Alligator mississippiensis: one gene and its partners. The protein of the gene in region 2 purifies or fractionates together with the protein of the main gene of each other region. This does not show direct contact. Links are inferred from orthologs where the notes say so. Each region holds a gene or a part of one and is shown on either strand. Other genes may lie near its edges. The genes, in order: RFC1, RPA3, RFWD3 and SMARCAL1.

Region 1 (7,532 bases), on a different chromosome or scaffold from region 2:
GACTTTGCCCACCCTGTAGATATGCCCCAATTAGACACCAATTTGGACATCCCAAAGAAAACCCCTAGCACAAGAAGCAAAATTGACTATGGATGACTTGCATTAATGCAGATCCTGATCAGAGTCTCATCTTCATTGATGCAATCTGTACTTCACAGTTCTTTTGCCTAGCTGTTGACCACCAGCGACTGAAATGTCCCACAAACAACCCCTTCATAGCATGATTCTCTTTCCATAATTTAGAGTTGTCCATCATGAAAAACATATATTTTGTGCCTTTCTTCTTGACTTGCTTGTTAGAGCAGGACATGCCCTGCTTTTTATGCATGCTGCTCTTCTTCAGTACTACCAATTGTGAAATAGAATGGATAATTAAATGATGCATCCATTTCAGTCTACATCTGCTGAGAAGCACTCTCATATAACTCATAGAGAAGCAGGGGTGCACTGATAGAGATTTTTTAGGCCAATACCGACAGCCAATTTTTAACGAGCCATATCTGCTGATACCAACCTGATTGCCAATATGCAGCCTGGCAACTTGGAGAGCAGCCAAAAAAAAAGCAGATGAATGCCAATACAGTATGGGACCAAATTTTCTTTTATTAATGCCGATACAATATGGGACCATTGTACCTCTAGAAGTAAGGCTAGAAGGGACCTCAAGAAATCATCTAGTCCAGGGGTAGGCAAAATACAGCCTGTGGACCAGACCCCTCCCACCAAGGGATTTTGTCCAGCCCCACCCAGCCTAGGCATGGGGGATAGCCCAAGCTATAGTACTGAGGCCAGTCCCACCACCCCCAGGCATGCAGCAGGGCTGAGGCACCACAGTGGCTGGACTCACTTCCTGGCAGCCCCAGCAGGAGCAGCTCTTCCCAGCTCCCACTGCTGCTAGACCCAGCCCTGCTGCCTGTGCACACCCACAGCTGGGGATAGGACCTACACAGGCAGGGCATGCAGCCAGGATGAGAAGGAACTGCAGACAGGCAGGAAGTGGTGTCCAGGAGTAGGACAGGTGGAAAGGACAGGGATCACAGGGCAGCATGGGGCCCAGGGCAGAGCTATGATCCACTTCTTGCAACAGGCCCTATTCCATGGTCAGGGACATGTAGGGAATAGATCACAGCTCCTCCCTGAGCTCAAGCCCTGCGCCCATCAGTGCCATAACATCCCAGCACCAGCCCTACTCACTCATCCCACTCCCCACTGGCCTGCGGTCCCATCCTATCCAGCTGGCTGGACACCCTGACCATGCTGGTCCTGGTCAGTCTCCTTTCCTCCTTACAAAATAATCTTAAAAAGTTTCCTAAGCTAAAGCCATTGGAACATAATACAAATACAACTTTTCAAACTCTCAAATTGTGTGAATATTTATATTGTGATACTACTCCACACAGCACTTCCCACACATATACCTCTGCTCTTACCAATGCTATCTTAAAAAAAAAAAAAAAAAAAAAAAAAAAAAAAAATGAACTGAATATATTCACCCAGCACACACAATTCCTGAGCCATAGCCAGAATGCTTATTCTGGTAGATTGGTGTACTGTAAAGCTAAGTGTATTCCCAAATCCTCCATTTGTCAATTAATTATTTGCATTCCACAGCTGTATGTGATAGGAAAGTCCAGCTCATCAAATCAAGCATGAGGACTGTAATGAGAAGGTAACAAATGTATTCAAACAGGCTTAAACCAAAATAACTACATTATTTTTAATTTAGGCTTTGGCCATTTTGGTGCAAGACTGTACGAACATTGACACTAAAGGCCCAATTGTCATGGAAGTCGCACCAACTGAAATTAAACAAACTTCAAACAAAATTTTATCCCTACAAGGAAGCTCTCATCTTGGTTTAAAGCTGATTGTATCTGTTGATTTACACCTGCATAGAGCTCCTGGCATAAACAGGAGTAGACTGTTCCTCCAAAACAGTGGTGTTTCAACGTTTTTGCCCCAAGGGCCGGATAAGTGGTGCCTGGTCCCGCCATAAGCCAGATCCTGCTGGTGGGTCCAATCTGGTGCACAGGGGCCTTGACAGGGCCTAATCTTGCCATGCAGAGCAAGGAGGGGAGCAGCCCAGCCCCAATCCAGCAGCAAGGGGTGACCTAGTCCCAATCCAGTCACAGGGGAAGTGGCTAGGGGCCTTGCTCCCCCACTGCCAAATTTCTCAACCCACGGGAAACCCTGCAGGCCAGATGCCAAGGCTAAACACCCCAAGCTCTTGCCACTCTCAGACAAGATACCAGGCTGCAGAACTTTTGGCCAGACCCAGCAGAGTCCTGCTTACATCCTTAAACATTAAGACCTTTTAGTGGGAGGAAGAGTCTCTCTCAGGCATCAGCCTGGTGTCAGATCTCAGGGCCAAGCTCCTACCACACCAGGCAGGCTGCAATATCAGAGTTACCTTCGCAGAAGCTTCCAAGGGACTTAGGAGCCACCAGCCCCCCCGTTTCTCTGAGACAGTGGTTTCAAGCGCATGGCCCCAGGAGTAGCGGAGGGACAGGGGTGCCTGCGCTGACACCACTGACACAGAGCACACACGGGGCTCAGTGCACGGTGTGGCACAGTGGCTGGGTAGGGAGCAGAGCACAGGGCTGGGGGCATCTCAGAGCATCTCAGAAAGGTGCGAGTTTTCACAGGCAGCAACCAGAGGGAAGGCAGGACCTGCCCGCACGTGACAGCGGGTCCCGCCGGGGGCATCCGGTTGTTGCCGGCGCGACTCAGATGTGGGGAGCCCCGGGGCGCGGTGGGGAGCGAGACCCGCGCGTCAGGCCGGGCCGCCCCGCGGGCTCCTCAGGGCAGCTCCAACCCGGGGGCACCAGCCCGAAGCCCCGCCGGGCTCCCGCTCCCACCCCCACCCAGCAGGCCGGGCCGGGCCGGGCCGGGCCAGGCGCCGCTCACCATGCTGCGGGCGACGGTTTATCCCGTTAGTGGGACGGCGCCAATCTCCATCCCCCTTCGCGCCAACTCCGGCCGCTGGCGCGCCCAGATGATGTCACAGGCACGCGGGGCGGGGCGGGGCGGAGCGGGGCGGGCGGCGGTCAGGAGCGTTCGGAACGCAAAACGCGGGGGCGGGGCCCGGGCTCGGCCGGAGTTGGCAGCTAAAGCTTTGCTAGGCCCCACCCGCTTTGCCGGGTTGTTGCGTGACTGGGCTCAGCGGCAGCGTCTGCTCGGGCACGTTCCGGCTGCTGGATTCGGCCCGGGGGCCTGGCGCGCCCCGGCCCTGCTTTGCCCGGGGTCGGGGGAGGAAAGCTCAGAAAGGCGGGCTAGCCCTGTCCGTTGGCACTGCTGGGCCTGTAAAAGATGTCACCCTCGGCAGTGCCTGCTCGCATCATGTCTGTGGGCTCCCTCGCGGCTACAGCGTCTCTCGGACACTAACGCACCTACTGGGGCAGATGCAAGGGTCCATTCAGGAAAAATGGGGAAGAAACCTTTCAAATGTCCGCTGATTAAAGCCTTTAAAAAAAATCGTACTTCCATGCCCTGCTCCCCACGTTTCTAGAGGGGGGAAACCTGCTCAGGCTGTCACAGAACCTGCAGAATCCAAAACGGTTATAACAACCCAAGCAGGTCATGCTCCAAATGCAGTCCTTTGGGGGGCTCCTGCTCTTCCTTGCCTCTTAGTCCCCTGGCATTTCTTGCAGAACTAGAGACGGTAGGGTAGACTTGCACCTTATAAACTAATGTAGTTTAGAGAGAGCTAGATGCGGGGTGCAGTTATTTCAGTTTTGACAAGCTGTCCAGACCATACTAGTAGTCCCGCGCCTTGACAGATGCCCGGCCCCTGGTTGCCTTCTTGTGACCAGAAGTCCCTCCTCCTAACCCCCGACCTTTGCCACCATAAGTCCCTCCCCTTGCCCAGGGAAGTTATCCTTTCAGCAGAGGTTTTGCCATCTTGGAACCAGAAAAATACCAAATCATATTCTAAAAAGCATTCATTAATTTGGTTTCAAAAAATATTTTTCTCCTGATTTACATGTGTTTGTGTAGTGTATATAGAGGTGATTGGACAATAGCATAAAATGAAGTCTTACTCTTGTATATTGTGGGGGGTGGGTATAGGTTTGTGGGCAGGTGTGGAGTGAGGGGGTGTGTTTGTGGATATGTGGCGGGGGGGGGTATGGGGTTTGTGGGGGGCTGGGTGCCTGGGGCATGTGGGAGGTCTGTGTATATGGCAGTGCAAGAGGGCGTGGTTGCATATGTATGGTTGGGTGTGTGTATGGGACTTAGTCTATGAACACACACACTGTCCCTGCCTGCATACATACACATTGTGTTACACAAATTGCCAATTGCTCAAATCACGAGCGAGACCTTATGAGGGAAGATAAGGCAAGATGCCGCATTTACAGATTAAGCACCTAATACACACACACCACATTCATACCCCAATTTCTATTCTGCGCTGGTATACGTTACCAGTCTTATTGGTGCTTGAATCAATTTGGTGGCCAGCCAAGTTGATCATGAGTGGGAGCTGGGCCAGTCCACTTCCTGCCAGTCCATCCCATCAGACAAAATGATGCTCCAGGATGACAAGCAGAACAAGACCCCAAATCAATATGTTGATATATTATAATATATGATATAATATATATACATATATATATATTATTATAATATATATAATATGTATATATTATATATTATATATAATGTGTATATATTATATGTATATATTATATTATATATTATATGTATATATATTATATCATATATTATAATATATCAACATATTGATTTGGGGTCTTGTTCTGCTTGTCATCCTGGAGCATCATTTTGTCTGATGGGATGGACTGGCAGGAAGTAAACTGGCCCAGCTCCTACTCACGATCAACTTGGCTGATATATATATATATATATATATATATATGATATAAGGTGCATAGTATATCACCCCATCTTTTATAGCCTTGTCAATTCACCCAGTTCTCTGGGCTTTTGCTGGGTTATCATTGTGTTCTTTCTTGAAGGCTGATTGCCATGGGCGACTGGTGCCTCCTGAGTCTGGGGGGTACCAGATTGCCAATGCAGGGGGTCCCCCAATGACTGACTGCCAAGCCAGCAGTGAAACCAGAAGTTCATTTCTACCGGCACTTCCAGTTTCGTGGCTGGCACTTCCAGGGGGTGCACAGCCGATCTCAGTGGGTGCACGTGCACCCACGTGAACCCCTATGCATTGTCAATGTCAATTGCCGTTGTTCTCTTGCTGTTCTGGGGTGGATTCTTGTTTGGTCTTTTATCTGTCTGCATTCTTAAACCAGTCACCAGCTGATGTTTTCCTTTTCCACAAATACACGCTCACCCATACAACATACTAAAGAGTAAAAGGTCAAGCACTTATGTCAAGCTACAGAGCAATACAAAATGGAGTTTCTTAAGGCAATGCAAAACTTAAGAAAATACATAAGATTAAAAGCAATACGCAAAAGTCTATTTTCATGTTATTTACCTAACATCAAGCTGGTATTTATGCTATTTGCCTAACAACTGCTCCTACCTGTCCACACACACACTGTCCTTGCCTGCCCCCCCCCTCCCCCCCCAACACACACACCGTCCCTGCCTGCATGCACATATGCAATGCAAATACCAGCGCAGCCCCGTGCTCCCCTGTCCGGTGATGTAGCCAGCAGCCACATGGTGCTGGAGCAAGGTGGGGGCAGGAAGGGAGTGAAATGGCTGGGGGTGGGTGGGGCTGGGCTGTTCCGTCCTGCTGAAACTCCCCCTGGGTCCTACTGCCCTTGACTCGTCAGCTTTGACAGGCTGCTGGGGCAGATAAATATTCTCTAAATTTTTTAGGGGACCCACAGGCCAGACAGAATGTCTTGGCAGGCTGGATTCAGACCACAGTCTGTATTTTGCCTGCCCCGAGATAGATATATAGTCTATAGATACTATAGTCTATAGATACTATCTATCTGTCTAATCTAACTATATATGTATGTGTGTATGTGTGTATATATATAGATTTGTACCTTATAGATTAAACTAAATATATATATAGATATATTCAAATATTATACAAGCCTAAGTCTGTTTCTGTCTGTCCATAACGCTTTATTCACACTCTGATTGGCTGACAAACAGCCAATCAGAGTGTGAACAAGCCTTTGAACAGGAGGTGGCAGCGGTGGAGCACTGCTACGATGGTGGGGACACAGGGGTGGAGCGGGGGTGAGGCCAGCACAGCTCCCTGTTCCCTGGAGGCGGTAGCAACATGGCGGACAGAACAGGGGGGGCGAGGCCAGCAGTGCTGCCCTCGCCCCCCCCATCTTGCTCCCTGCAGGTGGCAAGGATGGAGCAGAGGGGGGCAGCGAGGCCAACAGAGCTGGCCTTGCCCCCCCTTACTCCTTGCAAGTGACGGCAGTGGCAGCATTGTGGGGGGAGTGAGATCAGGATGCCGCGGTGGGGGCAAAGCCATCAGCACTGGCCTCTGCACGCCCCTCCCCCCTTCCATTGTCACCACCATCTGCAGGGCCTGACGCAGGATGATGCAATGGTGGTGGGGGGAATAGTGGGCACACCGCCACGGTGGCGATGGAGGGGGGAGGGATGGGTCCAGGCCTCATGTGGGGGAGGACTGGGCCCAAGGGTAAGGAGAAGTTGGGCCACCACAGCGAGAGGAGCAGCAGGCCTGGGCTGACCCAGCAGTGGGGGGGGGGGCAGGCAGATCGAGCTTGGGGCCAACACGGGGGAGAGGGGAGGCTGGGAGAGGAATGGGACCAGGCCCGAGGCAGGAGGGAGAAGCCAGCCTGCCACAGTGGTGGTGGGTAGAGCAGCAGACCCAGCCTGATGTGGCAGCAGTGGGGGGAGGGGAGCAGTGGGCCTCCCCCCCTCAGGCCCAGTCCCACTCTTCCCCCATCCCCTCTCCCCCACATCAGTTCCAAGCCCATTTCTTCCGTCCCCCCTGTCTCCACCACCGAGTCAGCCCAGGTCCGCTGCTCCCCCAATGTGACGGCCCGGTTTCTCCCACGCATCAGGTCCGGGCCCACTCCTCCCCTTCCCCCATGACTGCTGCCGTGGGGGAAGCGGGCCTAGCCCAACGCGACCCAACACAGCAGCCTCCTCCCCCGTGTCAGGCCCGGGCCCACTCCTCCCCCACTCCCCCTTCCCCACGTCAGCTCCAAGCCCACTCCTCCCATCCCCCTGCCACCACTGGGTCAGCCCAGGCCCACTGCTCCCCACCCCCCCACTGCAGTGGCCCGGCTTCTCCCCACCCTCAGGCCCGGTCCTCGCCCACATTGGGCCCGGGCCCATTCCTCTCCTCCCCCCGCCGGTGCAGCAGGGAGTGGGGGAATGGGCCTGGACCCCAAGCAGCAGGAGGGAAGGGGGGAGCGAACCTGGACAGGGGGAGCACAGGGCTCCATCCCCAGCCGCTCCCCCCGCCCTGTCATTCTTGATGGGCAATTGGCTAGTATAATATATATAGCACAAACTGTCTTGAGCTCAGAAAAAGCTTATGATTATATATATATATAAATATATATATATATATATATATACATAGTCTACATACAGAGTCT
Region 2 (7,968 bases):
CCAAAAGCTAGCAATTCCTACTACTTCAGACAGATCGTAGACAGAAAATAAAAATACATTTGATTAATTTAAAATTATCCCGCCTCTATCAAGACAAGTGATCAACATCCATAAGTCAACATATTACTATGAGTAATAAAGCAAGACATTAACTCTGGCAAGTCTAGGAGAGCAAAATTATGCCGTTACACTAGTTGCACTTAAAGTTGGTATCAACTAAGCAAATTGTGTTGGTCTAACTAAAATACATATAAATTTTTCTTTTTAACAAATAAAGTTTTGTTTCTTTTTAATAAAGGAATATATATAATGTTAATTCAAGTGAGCCTACATGTACTGCAGGTTCTAAAACGTCCTAGGATAAACTATAGCTATACAATATAGCTAGATGTCAGGGGAAAAGACAGGTACATACATACCGAGGATGCTATTGTCCAAGCTCTTACAGACTTCCCATATCTTATAATAAAAATGAAAAGAAGGTAATCTTTATGTTCTGGGACAGTGAAAGTATATGCCATCAAAAAAATAAAAAGGAGAGAAAATCTAGTAACAGTGAAAGAACAGTCATGATGACATAAATACATTTATTAATAATACATAATTATTTTCTACCTTTTGGGACTTTTTACCATCTTTCATTTTCCCTGAGCGTGAGGAAAGGTATGTGAGCCCAAAAGCTTGCAGAAAAAGATTTTTTTGTGTGACCTTGTATTAAACTAACTAAGAGGTATCATCCAAGAGTATGAACCAAGAGTTCTAGAGTTGTGCACATCTATATAATACAAAGACATTTCTGTTAGGGTTGTATGAAGCTTTGGTTGCCGATTCGGTTCGGAGAAGATTTGGTCCGATTCGGAGATTGAATCACCAAATCCGAATTGAATCAGGAGACCAAAAAATGCCTCTGAATCAATCTGGAAGATTTGGAGATTCAGAAGGCAGTCTTTCAGGGGAACAGAAACTGAGACGAGGGAGGGGAAGTAGGGGGGGAAAGACTGACATCTGTAGCTGGCTAGTGACTGTGATCTTTCCCCGAGTCCCTGTTCAATCACAGTGCTCTGGGGGAGGGACGTAGAAATAGCATAAGCCTCTGTCTGCAGACTTTCTGTCCCTTTTGTGAGCTGTTTCTGCCTGAGCAAAAGAGGGGTGGGTGGCTGGCCCAGAAACAGGTAGGCGGGCGGAGATCTAACCAGCACCGGGAAGGCCCCCTGTTACAGTCTATCATCCCTGCTGTTTTCATCCAAATCTGCCTTAACACATACAAGTGACATGAGTTTTGCTTTCAACAGTTTGAGGTGCAGTTTCCCAGAAACCCGTGCACCTATTTCCTTGAAACTTGGCAGGCTTCATGCCCTCACAAGGGGCTACCATCTCTGCTGTTTTCATCTAAATTTGCCAAAAAAATGACAAAGTTATAGGTATTTCAGTGATTCCCCATTATAGTCTATTGCCAAATCACCGAATCTCTTCCAATCAGCGCTGAATCTTTCCAAGCCGATTTGGCCAAATCGATTCAGGACAGTGATCCAAATCTCCAAAACAAATCACTGTCCTTCAAATTGGTCAAATATGAATCAAATATTTCCCTATTTGCACAGGCCTAACTTCTGCATGCAGCATGGAATTTAATGCAGGAGGAGATAACAACAGATAGTTGAATTGATCTTAAGGAGGGAATGGGATAATTTTGTAACAGGTGTAAATATACAACCTACATTAAGATAAATCAATTGTTCAAAACAGTAGTTCTCAATCTTTCCCATACTAGCACCCCTCTGGGATTCCTATTCAACAAGGAAACACGGAACATGCAAGTTGTTTACAACCCTTAAGTTGCAAACTGTGCCTTGGGGCATAAACTAAACATAAAGTAAATGTTCTCCTTCCAAATCAGACAGCCCTGTACAACTGTTTAACTATATTACAGTGTTTATCACTGTGAGGCACACAGTACTGCCTACTACCTGAACAAAACAGAGCACACTCAGACCACAGGCTTTATTTATTAGTCCTACCACAAGAAGTTTGCATTCCTGAGAAACACCATAAAATAGACTTTAGCTCTTAGAAATCTGTTAGACAAGACACTTGTGCAAAATGAAGACAAAGCAGTAGGTAAGGAAGAGGAGATTAAAAAAGAAGATCCCCAGAAAGTTTAAACATAGCTATTTATGTAGTATTTTACAGAGGCAACACGAGAAATTGTTACATCCAGGTGGAGGGGGGGAAGGTGTCTGTGCATATTCACATGTAAAAAATAAGATTCCAGAGGTAATTTTTTAAAACTAGCAATGAGGTAGAACATGCAGCCCCAGAATGGTTAGCATGAGGCCCCTGGGCTCCCATCCAGCCATCTCCAATCCCCTCCCAGCCATCTCACTTCACCTTCTCCAATTTCTCTTGCCACAGCAACATGTAAGGGACTGGAGTGCCCAAGCTGTAAATGCAGGAAAGGAGCCAGGCTGCCCACACTGAAGGTGGATTCTGTGTACCTCCAGGAGAGTGAGAAACAGGTATTGAACCAGTGGTGACATGTAGGAGGGGCACGTGCTCCCCCTGAGCGTGCTGATGCACCCCCTGACAGGCTGTGCTCCCCGCTTAGGCTATGGGGGGGGGGGGGAGGTGGGAGTGCCAATGTTCCCCCCCCCCGAGAGTGCTGGCTGGAGCGCTGCGGCTGCTTTCTGGTCGGCGACATTGGCTGTGGGACAGATCCCCCCAGTCGCTGACTGGTCACTGGCGGGGGGCACATGCCTCCCCTCCCCCCCCAAGGTGGTACCAGTTGCCAACACATTGAACACATGGTGGGGTGAAGGGAAGCCAGGCTGCATGTGCAGTAGAGTTGGGAGGGGGGGAGGGAGGGAGTACTGATTTCACAGCACACTCGACTGGGAGGCTGGCTACCCAGTTCTCTCCCTACTCCCAACTGTGCATGTTGTGTGCAACTCTTCATCCCTGGCCAAGATGGGGGAGCCAAGCTGTGCTGCAAAGGGGTGCCTGCATGGAATGCACTGCAGGTAGGGGGTGTTGCCTGCACTGTGCGGGAGGGGGAGAGATGGGACGGGGACGAGACGGGACTGGTACTTAGCAGCCCAAGTGGTGTGCAGCCCCCAGCTGCCAGACATGGAACAGTCCTGAGGTAGAACAATGGAGGAATAGACTTCAATAACAGTAAAGTCAGAAGCTTGTATGATAGTGGTGTGCGAACAGACAGTAAAAATTCCATCTTGTGTTTTTTTTATGAAAGGAAGAGAGGGAACTCTTTCAAGCATCAAGCCCCAATCTGGAGCAAGAAGAATGCATTTCAACTAAACACACTGCCCTCAAGGGCTGGAATTCAGTCTCTCTCCTACCAATAGCTCTGTTTACAACTGTTTGGTCTCCACTAGTTTCATGCTCTAGGGCTGCACTTTCATAAAGAACTGTTCTGATGCATTTTTTCCAACTGCTCTATCTTGACATATGATGGATTAAAATGACTAAATACGCAACAGCTTGGTGCCTTCCCCTCCTCTCCAACTGGCTGGTATTCCCATTATGTTTACCTTATCCTCCCATCATTAAGATTGCAGCTCACATTCAAAGATTTAAAGTGGAATGAAGCCTTGGAACACAAAGACAAACACCGTCCCTGTATTGAGTGGGAGCATAAGAATGGATGTGAGAAAGGGAGAGGATAAAGGGACCATAATTAAGGTGTGGGCTAACTCTGAAACAGGGATAAGCAACCTCCAGCACAGGTGCCAGAGTGCAGCACTCTAAGGCATTTTGCTTGGCACCCGTACCTCTGGGTGGATGACAGGGAAGCAGCTGGGGCTACACAGCAACAGCAAGGATTGGGCCCCATTGTGGCTCCCCCACCATCTGCCCCTGGCATGCCAACATCTTACAAGTTGAAGTTGAGGGTGTTTTGGGCACTCTGCCCAAAAACGTTGCCGACCCATGCTCTAAGACAAGAAGCAGCAATGCAGAGGAAAAGTGGCTTTATAATTAGGCACTGAACTAAACACTCTGGAAGATCCGTGTTCAATCTCGAGCTCTGCCTCAGGTTGATGCTGGTAAGTCAGTCTAAAACACCAGTGGCTAATTAATTCTCTGCTTCACAAGGGCCATACGACTGTGAAGATAAAATTATTTAATGCATAAAAGGTGCCTGGCTGTCAGAGGGAGAGAGGGGCAAGTATTCTGGACAGACAAACAAGGGCCAGTGCTTCATGCGTCTTGCATGCAGCGTCCTCATTATTACCGGATGTGGGAGCAGAGCCAATGTTATCTGCAGTAAATCGGACAGGTTACAACACAGCGGCTCTTAATCTTTTTTAGACTCAAGGCCTGCTCTCAGCCTTCAGGCAACCCCTGAAGTTGCCAGCTCTTCCTTTTCACTCGGTTTCTAGCTACAGCAAAATTACAGAGGGGTGGGTCCCTCTGGAGCAAAGCGCCCAGAGGGCGGGTGGGGGGCAGGGTGCTCGGCCGGCACGAAGGAGATCCGAGGGGCCCACTGGCAAGCAGGGCAGAAGGAGCTGATGGAATGATGACGAAAGTCACTACGCCGAGCGAAGCAAAGACGTCGTCACGAGGACACATCTGACGAAGCAAATCCCGCGCCTAAGAAAGCCGAGGCAGTGCCAAGGCCCGGCCCGGGGACGAGGCAGGTGGCAGGGCGGGAGCGGGCCGGGCCAGACTGAGGCGGGGCAATAACGGGCCCGGGTTCCCGCCGCGCCCCGCAGCAACGGACACGGGACGCGAGACGCGGGGGGGGGGAGGGCGGACACTTGGGCCGGGCGGAGCCACGCGCGCGCGCGCTGCCACTTACCACCTCCCGCCGCCGCCTTCGCTTCCGGGCCGGGCCGGCGCGTCGCCGTGACGTAGAACCCCCGCGCGCCACCCAGGAGCCGCCGGTTACGTCATCGCGCCCTCGGGTTGGGTTTTCTTTTTTTCTTTTTGCCCCTGAGCAGCCTGATTGGTGGTCGGCGCGGCGGCCCCGCCCCTCCCCTGCGTGCGTCCGCGTTGCCGAGGTAACCAGGAGGCAGCGGCGGGGCGCGGGAAGCCGCTCAACATGGAGGACGTGCACGAGGGCCCGCGGCCGCGCATCACCACCAGCCAGCTCGCGCAGCACGTGGGACAGCCCGTCTGCTTCGTGGGCCGCGTGCAAAAGGTACCGGCGCTGGCCGGGGCCTTTCGGGGGTCGCGCATGCTCCGCTCTTTAGGCCGAGGCCTCGCCCCTCCCCCTCCCCACTGGAGCCAGGCTGGGGGGTTGCGCCGGCTGCACACGGGGAAGACTTGGTGTAGGAAGGAGTGACGTCGCTCCTTCGCACTCCATTTTGACGTCACTTTCTCCGCCTTCCTCAGATTCACCCGAGCGGGAAAATGTTTGTCCTCTCGGACGGCGAAGGCAAGAGCGCCACCGTGGAGCTCAGCGAGCCTGTAAGTAGCTGCAAGCGACTGACCCTGCAGTGGGACTGGCTACGAGACCTGCTGGGGTTACCTGCACCAGGGCTTGCTCCTTGGTGCCTCGCAGGGGCTGGGCAGCAGCTCTGCAGAAAAGGACCTGGGGGTTTCAGTGGACAGGAAGCAGAATATGAGCCAGCAGTGTGCCCTTGCTGCCGAGAAGGCGAATGGCATACTGGGCTGCATTGGTAGGTGTTTTGCCAGTAGGTCAAGGCAAGTGATTCTTCCCCTCTGTTCACCACTGGTGGGGTCACATCTGGAGTACTGTGTTCAGTTTTGGGCCCCCCACTATAGAAAGGATTTGGACAAATTGGGGAAGAGTCCAGTGGAGGGCAATGACAATGGTGAGGGGGCTGGGGCACATGATTTCTGAGGAGAGGCTGAGGGAACTGGGCTTATTTAGTGTAGAGAAGACCAAGGGAGGCTTAGTAGCAGCCTTCAACTTCCTGAGGTGGGGTTACAAAGAGGATGCGGCTAGACTTCTCAGTGGTGGCAGATGACAGAACAAGGAGCAACGGTCTCTGGTTGCATCAAGGGAAGTTTAGGTTAGATATTAGGAAAAACCTCCTCTCTAGGAGAGTAGTAAAGCACTGGAACTGGTTACCCAGAGAGGCTGTTGAATCTCCAAATTAGAGGTTTTAAGACCTGGCTAGACAAAGCTTTGGCTGGGATGATCTAGTTAGGGATGGTCCTGCTTTGAGTAGGGGGTTGGACTAGGTGACCTCCTGAGGTCCTGTCCAACCAGTTTTCCATGATGCTGTTTGCTGATCTGCCTGCTGGAAGCAGGATAAATTTTGACTGGAAAAAAAGCTTAATCCTTTCAGCAAGGAGGTGCTTTAACCCTTCATTGGTATGATCTTTCCCTTTTCTTTCCTGTGCTTGTTTTACTTAAGGCATTTAAAATATATTTCCTTACTGGCATCTTTTCTGCAGCATCTGTACCAAACTGTCTGAATTCTTACCAGATCCCTGCTTAGAACACTTTTCATACTTCCAGTAACTGTCCTAGCCAGTTAGACGAAAAAGTTCTCTAAAATAAAATACATAATTGCATTTAAACACTTAAGACTTGCATCTTTCTCCTGGTGAATACTAGGTGCTGCAGTTGAATTTCCAACTCCTCTTCCCTTCATCAGCTGTCCATTTGGGCACTAACAAGTTCTGTCTCTCTTTCATGTTTTCTGTGATGTTTCATTTAATGGAGGGATTTTTCTGATTGGCATATTTTATACATTCCTCTATTTGTACTCCTGCAAAAACCTATTAGTGAAAATCCTTGACTAAAAGACTTGTCATAGCCTGTGCACTCAATTGCAGTTTCTACCCTTACAAGTATAGGAACAACCCTCATAATACACCTCTAGGATACACAGTATTTTTCTGCCTCTGTACCAGCTTACAGAGAGCATTAACCAAACTTTAACAGGGTTTGGACAACCCATCCAGGCTTCTGGTCACCGCTGCTCTTTGTGCCCTTTGCTTGGGTAAGGGGTTAAATGCTGTAATGTGATGCTTCTTTTAAGATGCATCATCTTTTGTTTATTTTTAGGAAGCTAAAGCCAGTTAGAAAACTACTCATCTCATAAAATTGAGTTTGATTTTTAGACTTATTTTTCAGCAGTATTTTATTTTCATGAAGTGGAGCAAACAAGCAGTTGCAATAAACCAAGCATTCCATTTTCTCAAGTTGCAAACTGATACTGGGTATGTAAGTAGCTGAGTACAAAAGAATAAGACAACTGTGGCAGTAACATGTTTTCTGTATGTTCACCAGTTAGATGAAGAAATCTCTGGAGTCCTTGAAGTGGTGGGAAGAGTAACAAATCAGGCAACTATCATGTGTATGTCATATGTCCAGTTCAGAGAAGATAAAAGCCCTTTTGGTAAGTAAAGATATGTCTTAAGATTGAATGTTGTTTTGCATTCTAAAAGTTATTTTTAAAGAAGAGCAGAGGAAAGATCTGCTTTATCCTTTTTCCTGGCAGGGGCATATACATAGAGTAGCTGTTTCCAGAAATCTGTCTCCTGTAGAGTTGTTCTTGAGTTGGTGATCATAATGCAACTATATGCAATATCCTCATGGGAAATGCACCAAAATGAACAGCAAGGATTGATTTACAGCTAGTCAAAATGAATCTAAAACTGTTTAAAAAGGAAAATCCTGAAGTCCTAGAACAAGTATGGGGCTATCATGTAACCTTTAATTATGCATAATTCCTTTAGTCCTGAACAGGAAAAGGAAACAGACAAACTGTATATAGTATTATTAGAGAGAGAGCTGCAAGATTGTATTCAGTCAAATATATTCTTACACAGGTTACTGTACCACTCCCATTACTGGTACCCGAAAAGTGCACTATTCTGCATATAGAAAGATCTGTTTCTCCATTCCCTAGTTCAGTGGATTTGGTTATTGTCCTTTTGTCTGGCTTACTCACAATGGACAGCAAGTAGTTTAGCTCTTGAATTTTAAGAGACTTAGATACTCCTGACTTGAGTGCAAATCACCACAGCTCCTGT
Region 3 (7,834 bases), on a different chromosome or scaffold from region 2:
CAAAAGTATCATAACGTTCTCAGATACTATGGTGAAAAATACAAATGAATATTTGTGAATAAGATAGACCCTGAGATGGTGCAGGGTCACTTGGAGGAACTGGATGCCTTTAAGTCAGCAGGCCCGGATGAGCTCCATCCGAGGGTACTGAAGGCACTGGCTGACGTCACTGCGCAACCACTGGCGGTAATATTTGAGCAGTCGTGGCGCACAGGCCAGGTCCCGGAGGACTGGAAAAGGGCCAACGTGGTCCCCATTTTCAAGAAGGGGAGGAAGGAGGACCAGAGAAGGGCCACTCGTACGGTTAAGGGCTTGCGGGCCAAGCCCTATGAGGAGAGACTGAGGCACCTGGACCTCTTCAGCCTCCGAAAGAGAAGGTTGAGAGGCGACCTTGTGGCTGCCTATAAGTTCATCATGGGGGCACAGAAGGGAATTGGTGAGGTTTTATTCACCAAGGCACCCCCGGGGGTTACAAGAAATAATGGCCACAAGCTAGCAGAGAGCAGATTTAGACTAGACATTAGGAAGAACTTCTTCACAGTTAGAGTGGCCAAGGTCTGGAATGGGCTCCCAAGGGAGGTGGTACTCTCTCCTACCCTGGGGGTCTTCAAGAGGAGGTTAGATAAGCATCTATCTGGGGTCATCTGAACCCAGCACTCTTTCCTGCCTATGCAGGGGGTCAGACTCGATGATCTATTGAGGTCCCTTCCAACCCTAGCATCTATGAATCTATGAATAGACATTAGAGGTACATTGATATATCAGTCTATATGGTATCGACATCGAAAAAAGGAAAATTGACATTAAACGCAATCAGCCTTTTTTGGCTGATGTGGCTGATAATGTCACTGATAAATGTTACGCGTGTGTGCACAGCTGCAGCACGCACACAAGGTCTGCGCGAATAAGGAAGTATTCGATTCGGATTTGGCTAATTCGGAGGACACTGATTCAATTCGGTGATTCATATCACTGTCCCCATTCAATTTGGTCAAATCAGAATTGGAGATTCGGATCAGCTGGGGAGAGGCAAGCAGAGCTGGGTGGCTACAAGCCCTCTCACAGCTCTTCTAGCTGTGCCTGCCTCCCCCTGGGCGGGGGGAGCCATGGGAGAAGCCCCCATAGCTGCCCTGCCCAGCCACATCCCTCGCCTGGCCGAGCCTCCCAGCACTTAAAAAAAAAAAGCACCCCACACTCACTGGCTGTAGCAGCTGTGACCAGGGCCTCTAAAGGCTTGTGGCAGAGCCCCCTGTATAGCGTAGGGATCACTCCCCACACCTGGCACCTGCGTGGCAGCTGTCGCATTGCACGGGAGCAGCGTGGCTCCCTGTGCGCACTGTCTGGGAGCTGGGGTAGCTCCAGCAGTCAGCCGGAGCCTGGCAGCGCTCAGCCCCAGCGGCCCCAGCTCCCAGATAGCACACGGCACTGCACACACACCATTGGGGAGTTTCCCCACAGGTGCCAGGTGTGTGGGGAGGCAATCCCTGCTGCCCCCTGTTGCGCAGGGGGGCTCTGCCACAAGTCCTCAGAGGCCCCAATCGCTGCTCCTGCAGCCAGTGAGTGCAGGGGATGGGGCCGAGGAGGACAGCCATGGGGGCTTCTCCCATGGCTCCCCCCGCCCAGGGAGAGGCAGGCACAGCCAAAGGAGCTACAGGAGAACCTGCAGCCGCCCAGCTGTGCCTGCCTCTCCCTGGTCGATCAGGATCAATGATCAATTCAGAGGATTTGGATTTGATTCAGACCTTTTAATAGGCCTCCTGATTCGATTTGGATTCAGAGATTTGGTTGCCGAATCGGGCTGAATCTCCTCCAAATCAAATCGGCAACTGAAGCTTCAGAGCCCTAATGCACACAGCCAGGAGTGCAGCCTGACAGTACTGTTCAGCCAGTAAGTCTGTTGGGGGGGGACAGGCAACTGGGGTCCTCTTGGTGAGGGAGAGGGTCGGGGTGAGGCAGGATATGGGACAGAGCCATGGCTCATCCAGGGGGCATGGGCAGGTGCCCCCCCAGATCTGCGTGCGGGGTGAAGGTGGGCTGCCGCTATGCGCCTGGGGCTGGAGGCTGTTCTGGGCTCTTCCTCAGGAGGTGGGAAGAGCCCAGCACTTGCAGTGGATGGTAGTGGTGCTGGGCAGAGGGGCTACAGAGAAATGAAATGGCTGTAGCCCATCCCATAGCTGCCCCTCCCAGTGCTGCTGCTGCCTGCTCCAGTGCAGCTGGGGCCCAGCCCCCACCCCCGCTCGGAGCCTTGCACAGCCTGCATTTCTGAGCAGGTAGCAGCATCCTGCCGTTGCCCATGCCTCCCATATGTGGAAAAACTTCATTATTGGAGGGTCATGTTAAATTTGTCTCCCCCACCACTACAATGAGCAATGCAGCATCATGAGGGCAAGTGCTGGAGGAGTCAAGCAGTCTGCCCCTCACCCCATGCCTCGAGCTGCGGCTCTGGGTTTGACTCTGGCCCAGGGCACAGAGCACATGCTGGCTCCCGGCACAGCGCTGGCAGCCCTGGCCGTCAGCTACGGCTGGAGCTGCCACCCCTGCTACATCCTGGTGAGAGAGACAGAAGCCATTACGTGCTCCTTGCCTGGGGCTGCAGCAGGCAGAGCCGACCCGCAGCACTGCCTCAGGGCAAAGGACAGCGGTGGGAAGGGGGAGCCAGCCTGGCCCGCATCCACCTCATCTCAGCACGCGTCAATATGAGGCAGCGCAAGAAAGCGGCGAACCGGCCCCGGAGACCAGACAGACACCGTGCGCGGGCCGGGCTCCGGCGGCTCGGCCGGGCGCTGCCCGCAGGATCCCGCGCCCCTCGCAGTACCGCAGGGGGCGGCCGGGACGGAGCAGCGCGTCTGTGCGGGCCGAGCCCGCGCTCACCTCGCGCCGCGGCCGCCAGCTCCAACCGTCCCGCCGCAGCCGCCATCGCCTCCCGCCGCGGCCTCACATCCCGCCCCGCCACCTCATTGAGGGGCTGAGCCCTCCATCAACGCAACCCCTTCTCCTATTGGACAGCCCGCCGTCGCAATGAGCATTCTTATTGGATGCGGACGCGGCCCGTTCGCCAGGGGCCGAGAGGAAGGAGGAGGGGAGGTTCACACACTCTACTTTTATTGGCCAGACAGGCGACGCGGCGGCACGGGGCAGAAATGATGCCCCAGCGCTCAATTATGATTGGCGAGTTGCCTGTCGATCAGCAAAATCGGAGGCAGGACACAGCGCCCGGAAGGGCATTTTCATTGGAGGAGCCGTCTGACGAGGTAAAAGGCGCGAGAAAGCTTGCATTCAAATGCCGGGCGGGGCGGGGGGAGCTCTTGCACTTGCCTGCGAGGAGACGAGGATCTCTGAGGTGTGCCCTGTTATTGTACCAGCTACGGAGTTGGTCTAGTAAGAAATGTCTCCCTCAGGAGTCCTCGCCTCACGTGTTCTGGGGACTGTCACGGCGACAACATCGCTCTTCACGCTGCTACGAGAACTTCCGAATTCCAGGCCAAATATATTTCCGATGAGTTTATAAGGATGTGTTCTGGTTTACGTTTCTTTTAGAGCAGGGATATCAAACGCATCTAGCCCCACAGGCTGGGTAAGTCGCACAGAGACGGTCGGATGAGTAGCGGGGCTGATCGGGGGACCAGAGCCGGCCCACAGACCAGCTCTGCACTTTGGATCCAGAGCACGGGGCTGCTCCAGTGCAAGCACTACAGGCAGCACGCGTCACATGTAGTGCAAGTGCTGGACCTAGCTCCATATGTGCAGGATCTGGCCCATGCAGCAGATATGATACAGCACAAACCAGTCTGAGTCTGCAACCCTGGTCCAATCTGAGACCCCCGGGCAGCAATATGATTCAGATGATAGGCCACCATGGGTCAGATCTGGCACGTGGGCTATATCTTCTGACTCTTTCCTGGTGCTTACTCCCTGGATGAGTTTGTATATAGAGAACAATCACATCCCCTCTCAGCCTTTGTTCTGCTAAGCCAAACAAGGCAGCAGCAAAGGAAGGAGACTAATGGGCTACTTGCAAACCCCTTTTTACAGCTAGCATCTGATGACCTCCAATGCTGCAATGACCAAACAGAGGAAGGAGAGGGAGTTGCTGGATTCATTTTCATGTACTTAGCTTCCTATAGTTTGAAAGTGATTGGGATGATTTGCTGAAGGACTTTGAATAAGCTAATTTATTGTTGGCACAACTTGCTTGAAGGTTAAATGCAGATGAGTTTCTGTCTTCAGCCATACCCTGTTGCCAAAAGCAAAACTTGGTGCCTTCTGATTGATGCTGCTGGTCTGCATGATTAGAATCATAGAAAATTAAGGTTGGAAGGGACCTCAAGAGGTCATCTCGTCCAACCCCCTGCTCAAAGCAGGACCATCCCCAACTACATCATCCCAGCCAGGGCTTTGTCAAGCTGGCCCTTAAAAACCTCCAAGGATGGAGATTCCACCAGCCTCACTAGGTAACCCATTCCAGTGCTTCACCACCCCGCTAGTGAGACAGTTTTTCCTAATAACTGAGCTAAACTTCCGTTCCTGCAACTTGAAACGATTGCTCTTGTTCTGTCATCTACCATCACTAAGAACAGTTTAGCTCCATCCTCTTTGGAACCACCCTTCAGGTATCAGATCCCTGCTCACTCTTTTTTTCTGCAGACTAAGCCCAGTTCCCTCATAAGCCATGTGCTCCAACCCCCTACCCATTTTCATTGCCCTCCACTGGACTCTCTCCAATTTGTCCACGTCCTTTCTGTAGGGGAGGACTCAAAGCTGGACATAATACTCCAGATGTGGCCTCACCAGTGCAAAATAGAGTGGAATAATTTCCTCAATCTGCTGGCAATATTCCTATTAATGCAGCCCACTATGCTGTTAGCCTTTGTCATAACCCAATGATTTTAAGTGCCTCGGCACAATGGAATTTTTCTCGCCACATGAGAGTCTCTGTGCACAGCAAAAGTTTTCTGTTGCAATAGAAAACTCTGGTGCAAGAGAGTTCCCGCCATTTGTATGCAAATTTGTGTCCTATCATTGGCTGATTCTAAATTATTCCTATGTGGCGGCTAGCGATTGGCTTGTTAGCCGTATAAAATTCTGTGCGACTTCCGCCCAAGTCGGAGAACTTTGAGCATGCTGCAGAGTGACTTAAAAGAATTCCTGACGTGGCAGAGCGAATCGATAGCCTGATCAACTATCGATTTTTCTCCCCATCGCCGAATGCTATCCCTCGACGTACCCCTTTTCCTGCATGCCTGGTTCGTTTACAGATTCGCTGGCCTGGGTTTTTGCCAGCTGGAGCAACTCGTGTAATTATTTAAGCGATCGGACCACCTGCGTCGCGGCTACTAGCGGCATAAGTAAAGCCTTTTTGCAACCAATACGTTTTGTCTGCCTCTCCATTCACCAGCCCACCCAACGGCCAAGCAATTTGTAGATCACCTCAACTTGGCTCTGGCCGTCTGAGACAGCCTTCCTGGCAACAAGGGCACACTGTTGACTCATATCCAGCTTATCGTCCACTGTAACTCCCAGGTCCTTTTCTTCAGAGCTGCCTCTTAGCCAGTTGGTCCCAAGCATGTAGCAGTGTATAGGATCCTAGCATCTTAAGTGTAGGACTTCGCATTTGTCCTTGTTGAACCTCATGAGATTTCTTTTGATCCAGTCCAATTTGTTGATGTCACCCTGAATCCTAGCCCTATTCTCCAGCATATTTACTATTCCCACCATCTTGGTGTCATCCACAAACTTGCTGAGGAAGCACTCCATCCCATCTTCCAAATTGTTAATGAATATATTGAATAAAAATCAGCCCCAGGACCCCTGGGCCACTCTACTTTATACCAGCTGCCATCTAGACATTGAGCTATTGATACTGTTGAGCCCACCTATCTAGCCAGCTTTCTATCCACCTCACAGTTCATTCATGCAACCCATACTTCCTTAGCTTGCTTGCAAGAATGCTGTGGGAGACTATATCAAAAGCTTTGCTGAAGTCAAGGTATATCATGCCTACTGCTTTCCAAACATCCACAGAGCTGGTTATCATTATAGAACATAATCAGGACAGTCAGGAATGACTTGTCCTTGGTCAATTCATGCTGACTATTCCTAATCACTTTCTTCTCCTCCAAGTGCCTAGAAATGGATTCCTTAAGGACCTGTGCCATGATTTTTCCAGGGACTGAGGTAAGGCTGACTGGTCTGTAGTTCCCTGGATCCTCCTCCATCACTTTTTTAAAGATGGGCACTATATTTGCCATTTTCCAATCATCTGGGACCTCCCCAAGCTCCAAGAGTTTTCAAATATAATGGCCAGCAATTCTGCAATCACATCAGCCAATTACTATAAGCTCTTATGGAAGAGTCAATATGTTATTTCTGTTCAGTGTTCAGAAGTTTCATAAGTTGATGCTAAAACTGCTTTACTTGCCTCTTGGTAGCAATGCTAGATTGTAAATCATGAGGTCTGAAAGAAAACATTCAAACAGGTTTGTGCCTTTTCCTTAGGTAGGGACTCTAGGATGAAATATAACATTAATTAGTTGAACAATGACTAGAACAGCTGTTGTCTTCAGAGCTGGGGAGGTCAACAAATGAAATAGATGGAAGTGAATATCCCAGGTTGAAATGTGGTTGTTAATGGCATGAGGGGAAATGCCATTTCACATTGTGTCCTTATTAAAGAATATCCTTGGCCACCAGAAATGTTGGGGCACCTACTTAAATGTTTTAAAGTGACAAAAAAGGGATGGGTCATAACAGAGTTCAAATATTTTGGAGTCATGACTGACCATGTGGGACATAGGTGCCATCCTTGAAATGGACAATGCCATCTTTGATCTGGAAATTGAAGTCAGAAGTTTGGCCATCAGTAGAATTCTAGTCTGATATGAATCTAACTACAAACGTATCATCGGATAACAACAATCTGAAGAGTAAGAAATCTTTGTTTGCTGTAGCACTTGTTTAATTTCAGGGTTTTAATTTTGTGTGGCATGCTCTTAAGTTTGAGGTATACGTCTTCTTAAAAGCTCTTTTTCTGAAGTATTCACCTTCATGAAAATGCACTAACATTAACATTCTTGACCACAAAGGGGTAAGTAAGGTTTAAGGTAAACCTGGAGAAAAACCAGGACTGTTACATTTGGCATTGGTTCAGCTTTCTCAGCATACAAATATTTTAACTTTTTGTTAGCACCCGAACTGAAAATGAATCACCCCTAGGGTAATGAGACCACTCTTCAAAGTGGTTCTTTGCATAGATCTGGAATGTTTTCACTCAAAAGACCAGAGTCCTCAAAACAACCATACTGACCTTCAATATGCTGAGGACTGCACCATCCTTGTGCACACTGAGAACAACCTCCAGACCACGCTGGATCTGTGGAGAAGCCTACTGAATTTTGAGTCTCTCAACATCAAGAAGACTAAAGTAGTCTATCAGCCTGCAGTAGGCCATGAAATTATCACTGAGGGAAAGACCCTGGAAATAGTCAAGCACTTCCCCTATCTCAGTAACCCCCTCTCTCAGAGAGTGAACACTGATGAGGAGATCCAGTTCAAGATCTGGAGTGCAAGTGTCTCCTTTGGGAAATTGCATTTTTTTGTCTTTAATAATTGCAATCTCAAGAAAGACACCAAGATCCAGGTCCACAATGCAGCCATTACCCCTCCCCTCCTATTACAGATGTGAAACATGGGTGGCCTACCATCATCATCTCAAGAACCTAGAGAGGTACCATCAACAATGCCTCTGGAAAATCCTCCACATCAAATGGAAAGATTGCTGTACAAACACCAGCATCCCTGCTGAAGCCAGTGTTACCAGCACTGAGTTGGTAATTCT
Region 4 (7,973 bases), on a different chromosome or scaffold from region 2:
GAGAGGATATTTTAAAAACATTGACATGGCAGCTACAAGTTGCCTACTTAGACTGTAAACTCTTTGGAGCAGGGACTCTTCTGTTTCTTAAATACCTTCAGGGAAGAAAGAGGCAGCATGTAATAAATACCTGGCGAGACAGTGGGAAGCTGAAATCAGGCCTAAGGGGTGGAGTTTGTAAAACGCCCAGCATTGGCCTAACTGTTCACACTGCTTTTCTTGAAGTCGGTGCTGCTTGCATTGAACAGCCCACTTGAAATATGTCATCTTTGTAACTGTTCCTTATCTCCCCTGGTCCAGAATGAAAAAAACCCTTATGCCTGATATTCCACATACCAAGGCAACCAACCGCACTGGCAGCTTAACAGAAAGCCCAGGGGGATCACAATAATTCACTTTCCACCCACCCAAATAATAGGAAAATGAACAAAAAAAATATATCAAGAAACCAACATTTTTTTTTTTTTTTTTTTTTTTTTTTTACAGTTCAAGAAATAGCATCGGATTCAATTTCTCAATACAGTATTAGCCAGCTGCACTTCTGGAACATTTTCAGTTTCTCCACATGGCCTTGCAGATTGTACTTTTATGAACTGAGCCATTTTTGCCTAGAGTGTAGTTTGTTAGCTTCTGAAATATTCAGTTAGCGATTGAGAAAAAAAATTCTGTTTGGCATTTAGATAACACCTCAAACCTCAGTTAATTCTGACCAACTACCGCGATTCACAGCAGAATCTCATAAGCCTGATGCCTGAAAAACAGGTCTCCTGTTTGAACAGCTTTGCCTCTCTATTGCTCCAAGAAATAATACAGCAAACAATAATCGTATAAGCAGGAGACAAAGTCTTTGATCCTGCTTATCACTCAACAGTTCTCTGACTTACTGAGATGGCAGTAGTCTTCCAGGCTAAAATTCCACATCTTCGTCGCCGGATCTGAAAAAGGACCAATTTTGAGTCATTTGTGGATGGGAAAAATGACTGCATGTTAAATATTAAAATACCAGGCAAAAGGCAATCCGATCTATCCTTGCAGACTCTTCACACAAGACTACCGTTCCTAGATCATAAAAACGTGGGACAACTAGAAATACAACTCCAGAAGGACTAAGCACCGGGGCAACAAAACCTATACATCCATAAAAATGAGGACGTAAATCCCAGAAAGGAGCAGAGTGCGACAAGGACAGAGGATTTTGCAAATTAAGATGGGGGAGAAACCACACATAAGGACATCTAGATTCTCCTTTTAGTGCACAGGACAGCTGGAGACTGTATTGTTGGGCTGGTACTGGTGAGAGCCACGGCTATCAGCCTGCTCCAAAGCAACTAAAACTGACTAACCATTACTGCATCCCCAACAGCCCTCCTGAAAAGATGGGACCGCCTGGAGTCACTAAAATCTCAGGGTCCTTTCCAAAAAGCTAGGGGTTTCAACTCGGATGATTTAGGAAAAGAGCCACGTAAGCAAATTACTCCTTGCATTCTTCTGCAGCTTTGTCTGCCTTATTTTTCACATCCGCAATCAAAACGATATGTAACATTATTCAAGAGCAAACTGGATGCTTATCTTGCTGGGATCCTATGACCCCAGCTGACTTCCTGCTCTTTGGGCAGGGGGCCGGACTCGATCATCTTCCGAGGTCCCTTCCAGCCCTAATGTCTATGAAATCTATGAAATTATCGCCATGCTCCATCAGGCCAAAGGCTGCATTTCCCGTATAAACAGGAAATATAGGCATTGTTACTCAAAAGACCAAGATCCGACATAACGACGCAGACATAAACCCAACCTTAACACGGGGCGTGAGAACTCTTACCGTAACTTCTGCTAGGTACGGTCTTAAACACGGCAATGAGCTCCGCGCTGTAACCCACTTCAACCTGGAAGCGGTCTCCGCCGTGTCTCACGCACCTCCCTTTGAGAGCACAGCGTGCTTTGCTGTGAACGGCAGAGCTCCCACCACCGCAGCTGTCCCTTTTCTGCACCTTAGCCTCTTTCAACGGGGCAAAGGGCTGCACCGTGCTGTAGAAATGAGACACGCTGCTGCCACCACACGTCTCGGGGCAGGGTCCGCACGGGGGTCTGCTGGCATCTGTCAGCATCGAGTCGCTTGGCAGCGGCGTGTATTCGGTCCGACAGTGCATATCCGCGAATCGAGGGCACGAGGCTTCTGCGGGGTTTTTGCTCGCCAAATAGTACTTCGGCTGCTGCGGCGCTTGCTGATGCTGCGCTCCCGAGCGCGGCGGCGGCAGGGGATGGCTCCAGGCATCCGCTGGCGGGAACGGCCTTGTGCCGCCTGCTCGGTTCGAGCCCTGCGGGTAATTATTCGGTTGCGCTCCGCACAAACCAGCCGCCGGCGGATGCGCATGTGTGTCGACGGGACTCGGCCCTTTCTCAACGCCGTCCTTCTGCTGGCTCTGGCCGCCGGGGGGCTGGTGACACGACCCGACACGCCGGCCATCTTGCTGCAGGCTTGCTGGATCCAGGCGCTGGGAGGCTGGACGGCCGACCTCCCCCGGTGCCGCTCGCCGCTCCGCTCTCCGGGCCAGCGCCTTCTGCCTGTTCTCCTCGATCCGTCGTTTCTGCTCTTCCGTGAGGCCGGAGGACATCTTCCACGCCTGAGGGGAATTCGGGATGCGGCCGCCTTTAAAAACTAAAAATAAATTAAAACAAAAAAATAAAGGAAAAGTAAAAATAGGCAATTTTTATCCATGCCCCTCCGAAGGCTTTTATTTCCTGCTCTGTGCATCCCTCCCCTCCCCCCCGCGCACAAGTCAGGCCCTCACGGCCCCAGGAGATGGAAACTGAGGCCTCAAAACCAGGGGCACGCCCCCTCGGCCAAAGGGAACAATACGCCCCCCTCCCCCCCATTCAGGGGTCACCACCTTTGACCCCTCTCCTAAAAAAATGACGCCCCCCTCCCCCACCTTGATGGAGGCCCAGTGGGGCTCAGCCCCCGCCGCTGATGGCGCGCAGCCGCGCGGACTACAACTCCCAGGAGGCACCGCGCCGACAGCGCCTCCGGGGAGGAGCCGGCGCGCGCGCGGCATGCCGGGAGGCCCGCCGCATGCTGGGAGCTGTAGTTTTTTTTGTTGTGGTGCTGTGTTCTGCTCATGGGCCTGCCCTGCCCCAGTGACCCCCCCCACCAGCAGTATTATTATGGGATGCACCCCCCCCTCCCACCCACACACACACACACAGAGCAAAGCTGGTTGCACTGGGAATAAGAGGGTGCCAAGGAGGGGGAGATGTGGTGGGGCCCGCCGGGCGGTGGAAGCCACATTGGGTATAATGCAGGGAGGGTAAGTGGAGGCCCATCGTTCCCCAGCCTCTCAGCACCGCGGGATTAGGGACCGCTGACAGCACCGTGAGCTAGTGCTTCTTCGACCCTCTCTCTGCTCCTCCGAATGAAGAAGGTCGTCCCCAAATTACTTCCTGATTAAAATGCTGAGATTGCCGCGAGGCAGAGAATAGCGGGGGCAGGCCGAAGACGGATAACGCAACGGGTAAGCTGCGACTTGTCCCTCTAGCAGAGAGGGTGTGCACACGCGCACACATATACATGCACACACGTGCACACACACACAATACATGTATGCACACATGCACGCACACATATACACACGCACACACACTCATGCGTGCACATGTGTAAGCACACATATACACACGCACGTGCATACACACGTGCATAAGCACACGCATATACATGCACATATGCACATGCACGCGCACCCATATATACACATGCACGCGCATGCATACACACACACGTGCATGCACACACATTTCTGCCCAGAAGCACTTTTACAATCTTCTCTCCGATGCCTGTCGAAGGATTTTTGTGCCTGAAAGCTTGCAATTAAAGACTTTTTTTTGCAAAAATCTTGTAAGATATCACACCGCTACCAAAAGCCCCGATTGCCCTTTCCTTTAGACCAATCCAGCTACAACCTGGATAGCACATGCACACACACACACACACACACACACACGTTCTATGCATGCGCGCACATTCATTGGATAAAAACACACACAAAATGCACAGACACAAACAGGCAGCATTGTACACCCCACCTTTCTGCACACATGCTGATATGCACAGAGAGACACAGGCGAGTTCACACACATGCACCACTGTGTACACATGCAGGTGTGCCAGCTAACACGCAGCTAATGTCCTTACACTCCTGCTTTCATGCAGTGATCTGGCGGTTGTGTGTCACGGCTGCCCTCTGCCAGGTGAAATCAGAAGCGGTGAGCTGTGTATCAGAGGTCCTGTGCTATTAGTGGCTAAAGGGGATTCTCCTTTCTCTGAAATCGGAGGGACTTGTGATTTTAGGGCTGCTCTGCAATCTAACTGATCTTTGATTCCCATGCGTCAGCTCAGCCATGATGATGAGACCTAAAGAAGTCTTGCCACAGCTTCCTACGTTACATCATTAACTGATCTTGGATAGTCTCTGTGATGTCCTGCCTAAACCTTCCTTTACTCATTTTGTCCCTTGCCCTGAAACAACCTTGAAGACTCCCCTCTTTTGCACCTTTGAGATACTTGGAGACAATCCTCATGTTTCCTCCTAGAGCATGCCAATGAGGCAGTCACTCTTCTGACTGTAGGTCACTCAGGTGGACCTACAAGTTGGACTAGGTGATCCTTGCATAATTTTGTATCTTTAAACTTTCTACCTCGAGGAGTGAGAGTATGACTGATGGGTACTCATTTTACGCCCCCCGCCCCGAGCTCCATCTACTGTTATCGGCCCCTGAGCGAGCTAGTTTAGGGCCATCCTAGGTATGTCTGCCCTTGACTGCAGCATAGACTAGTTAACTGGTTAATATTTAATCCTGTTACTCAGATTTGTACTTTGTCTCTTTTTTCACAGATAAATATAGGCCCAGACTGCAACCGTTGAGCTGAAGCTTTACCTGAACCTTTAAGGAGAGCTGGACCCAACCTCATGTCCCCAGACCAGCTATCTCCCAGCAGAGACTGATCAAGTGATTTACAGTGAATCACTCGGGGAAAGGGAGGAGGAGAGCTTTATTAGCCCTTGGGACTAGGGGAAGAGCTGGAAAAGGAAAGGCCTCTTGGGACCCTGCTTTGGTTGAGGGAATAGCTTTGTTCTGTGCTCAGATAATAAGCTGAGTCCTGATGGAAAGGGTTTGCTCCAGGCTCTCAGGGTGACATTAGGGTTTCTTGGACTTTTAAGTGGGTCAGCAGCCTACACTCCTCATCCCACAGCCTTCAGAGTCATGCTTGGATCCGCGTTTCGGGCCCATTTCCTGAAGGGGTGGAACCAGGGTGTCAAACCCCAGTAGCCCGAATTGTTGAGAAAGTTGGGGATTTTCATCTGAAGCTGAACATAGCAGCTCAGATCTGTCTCCCCTAACTCACTTCCCTCTGGCTACACCTGTTCTTGTTGGTCTTCTCCAAATTCTTCCCCGTTGTCTCCATCTCTCTTGTACCACCAGATGCTGAGCACTGAACGCACAATAGATTTGACGAATCCCAATACCCTGAACTGGGAGAGCCGTGCAGCGTTTCCTGCAGCTTGCTGTGAGTACTTTATATGCACAGGGCTGTTGATCTCTCTCTCTCTCTCTCTCTCTTCCTCCACATTGACAGCTGTCTTGGTGGACAGTTCTTCCCGACATTGCACCACCCAATGAAAAGAAAATGGGCTGCCCCCTCCTTTTTGAAGATACTGTAGTATCCTGGATCTTTCTAGCGCACAGAAATCTTCCTGCTTCTGCTTACAGTATAACCCCTCAAAAAGATTATAGCCTGTCTTTTCCAGCTTCCACCTGCCTCAACAAGGTTCCTACTTGCACTTTCAGCTGAGAACTGCAGCCCATGCAGCCACAGTGATCTTTGTGCTGCTATGCTTTTGTTGCACTGGTGCTGTAAAACCAGTCTCTTAGCTGTTATGTGTTGCACCACTGGTGAAAGGATAGACCAATATCTTGGAAAAAAAATTTAAAAGTTGGGTTCCCAAATCTATTTTATATTAGGGGCCTCATTTTCAAGCTCAAACAACTTATCTATTGCTGAAGTCTTGACCTTTTGAGCCCAACTTGAGGCTCCTATTGATTAAATTCTGGCCATAGCCCCGGCCTGTTGCAGTTTAGTCTTCTTGGGGTGGGAAAGACCCAGATAATCAGGGCCCATCACCCAGCTATCCAGAGAAGTCCTTTAGGCGGCAGCCTCAAAGGTCACCTACACTAAATAATTAACCATCAATGCAATATTAATAGTGCTTCTGCATTGCACCGCAGTAATGTTTCTCATCGGAGGATCTCAAAGCACTCTCCAGACATGCTGAGCATGCAGGGCAGTTATAGGTCAAGCAGAGTGGGGTGAATCAATAGTCAGGATAGGAAACTGAGAAGGAGACAGTTTTGTGACTGTTAGGGGAGAGCTGATATGGGGAGTGTCACAGAGAAAGGGAGAAGTAAGGAGCCCTGAGAAGAACATGGCAGTCAGTAATACTGTGTGTGATCCAAACAGTGTTAGGGCCCAAGGGTCTGCTCCAGAAGATGAACTATTCGTGGGGCTTCGCCGACTGGCAGTAGGTGAAGCCTGCTACAAAGGCTCTTCCAGAACTAAAGCTAGTGACTGATATACTTCATCCATGAAACGTGCCCACCTCTGCTGCACTTTGTACAGCAGTAAGCAAGCAGTCGATGCTTCACTAATAATAAAGGAGGACCCGGTACGTGGCTGTCATCCCTGTGGTCAGCAGTGAACCAATAACACAGTCCTATGGCTCAGCACTTATCCACCTCTCAAGCAAAGCGCTTAAGCATGAGTTCAATTTTGAACATGTTCTAGTATCCCAAGGACTTCAGTAAGTTATTAGCACATCTTGGGGGTTAAGCCTATGTTTAAGCTTGTCCCTTGAATAAAGTGATGCGCTCAGTCAGAGCCAAACCCCGTTCACTAGAAATCGAAGTCTGCTCATTAAGATGTCAGCAAAGGGAACCTGAGTTTGTATATCTGTGAAGGACGGGCCAGATCCTGCTGTCACATGTGCTTCCTACTGCTACCGGTCCATCTCATTGATGTCAAAAGGACTGCTTGTAGCAGCAGGTATCATGCATTGTCGTAGCTGTTTGAAAGATCAGGGCATTGTAAAGCCTTGTTGGAAACTTGGGGTAGAAGCTGTTGAATACATGTATTATTATAAATTATATGGTACTAGATGCCATAACGTGGTTACTTATTTCTGGTACTTTATTTGCCTGTTTTGATCATAACAAATATTATTATGACCAGAGACTGAGTAACTACTACAAAGGTGCTGCTTAAAAAATATGACTACAGAAAGCAGATGCTCATCGAGTTAAATAAGAAATTTAATTACCCTGCATTTTATCTTGTTTTCAGCAATATGATGACAAATCACATCTTAATAAAATAACATTAGGGAGAAGCACAATTCCAGCGCTTCAGGAAATGAGAAGCAGTATAAGTTATAGGCCTGCTCCTACTGACTGAGTCAATCTCATTCAGAAATCAGACATGATGCTAAGATGGATAATGCTTTAGCAAAATGAACCCCTAACAGTTAGAAAGATTTACTGCTGCTTCAGGTTTTCAAAAGCTGAATGCAGGGTGCATGGGGAGAAGGGAGTTCAATGGGTGTTTGGCAATGCCATTCCTATGTGTTATTGGATCTCTACGTCGGCATAGGGGTACCAGCTCTTGACATCCACATGAAAGGGTTTTTCCTTTACTCCGAGATGCTTGCGTCCCAGGTGGACGCTGTAGCATGCATCATATAATAAACAAGGGCTGGACAGGTCACAGAAAAGGAGCTGGGGGTCGTGGCACAAGCCAAATACGAGTCAACAGTGCAATGCATCTGGTGATGTAGGTTGCCTGTGAAAGCTCATGTCTCCCTGAATGAGTTAGTCTCTAAGGTGCCCCGCTGCCTTGCCTTCTGCTTCATGAGCTAGTAGGGGCT

The links.
Region 1: the proteins of RPA3 (region 2) and RFC1 purify together in Homo sapiens (affinity purification with mass spectrometry; 3 studies listed by BioGRID and IntAct, with this or other methods). This does not show direct contact. The link is inferred for Alligator mississippiensis from reciprocal best matches to the Homo sapiens genes RPA3 and RFC1.
Region 3: the proteins of RPA3 (region 2) and RFWD3 purify together in Homo sapiens (affinity purification with mass spectrometry; 5 studies listed by BioGRID and IntAct, with this or other methods). This does not show direct contact. The link is inferred for Alligator mississippiensis from reciprocal best matches to the Homo sapiens genes RPA3 and RFWD3.
Region 4: the proteins of RPA3 (region 2) and SMARCAL1 purify together in Homo sapiens (affinity purification with mass spectrometry; 3 studies listed by BioGRID and IntAct, with this or other methods). This does not show direct contact. The link is inferred for Alligator mississippiensis from reciprocal best matches to the Homo sapiens genes RPA3 and SMARCAL1.

Annotation. Positions count from the first base shown.
Region 1 is NC_081825.1:50,653,438-50,660,969, forward strand, and holds the start of RFC1 (replication factor C subunit 1), read right to left. Parts: upstream 3,015-7,532; 5' UTR 2,911-3,014; coding exon 2,908-2,910; intron 1-2,907. UniProt on the Homo sapiens protein: Subunit of the replication factor C (RFC) complex which acts during elongation of primed DNA templates by DNA polymerases delta and epsilon, and is necessary for ATP-dependent loading of proliferating cell nuclear antigen (PCNA) onto primed DNA.
Region 2 is NC_081828.1:170,932,405-170,940,372, forward strand, and holds the start of RPA3 (replication protein A 14 kDa subunit), read left to right. Parts: upstream 1-4,968; 5' UTR 4,969-5,056; coding exon 5,057-5,155; intron 5,156-5,349; coding exon 5,350-5,424; intron 5,425-7,222; coding exon 7,223-7,331; intron 7,332-7,968. UniProt on the Homo sapiens protein: As part of the heterotrimeric replication protein A complex (RPA/RP-A), binds and stabilizes single-stranded DNA intermediates that form during DNA replication or upon DNA stress.
Region 3 is NC_081833.1:40,708,355-40,716,188, forward strand, and holds the start of RFWD3 (E3 ubiquitin-protein ligase RFWD3), read right to left. Parts: upstream 3,012-7,834; 5' UTR 2,918-3,011; coding exon 2,872-2,917; intron 1-2,871. UniProt on the Homo sapiens protein: E3 ubiquitin-protein ligase required for the repair of DNA interstrand cross-links (ICL) in response to DNA damage. Plays a key role in RPA-mediated DNA damage signaling and repair.
Region 4 is NC_081827.1:252,486,198-252,494,170, reverse strand, and holds the start of SMARCAL1 (SWI/SNF-related matrix-associated actin-dependent regulator of chromatin subfamily A-like protein 1), read right to left. Parts: upstream 3,016-7,973; 5' UTR 2,931-3,015; intron 2,657-2,930; 5' UTR 2,613-2,656; coding exon 1,820-2,612; intron 936-1,819; coding exon 885-935; intron 1-884. UniProt on the Homo sapiens protein: ATP-dependent annealing helicase that binds selectively to fork DNA relative to ssDNA or dsDNA and catalyzes the rewinding of the stably unwound DNA. Rewinds single-stranded DNA bubbles that are stably bound by replication protein A (RPA).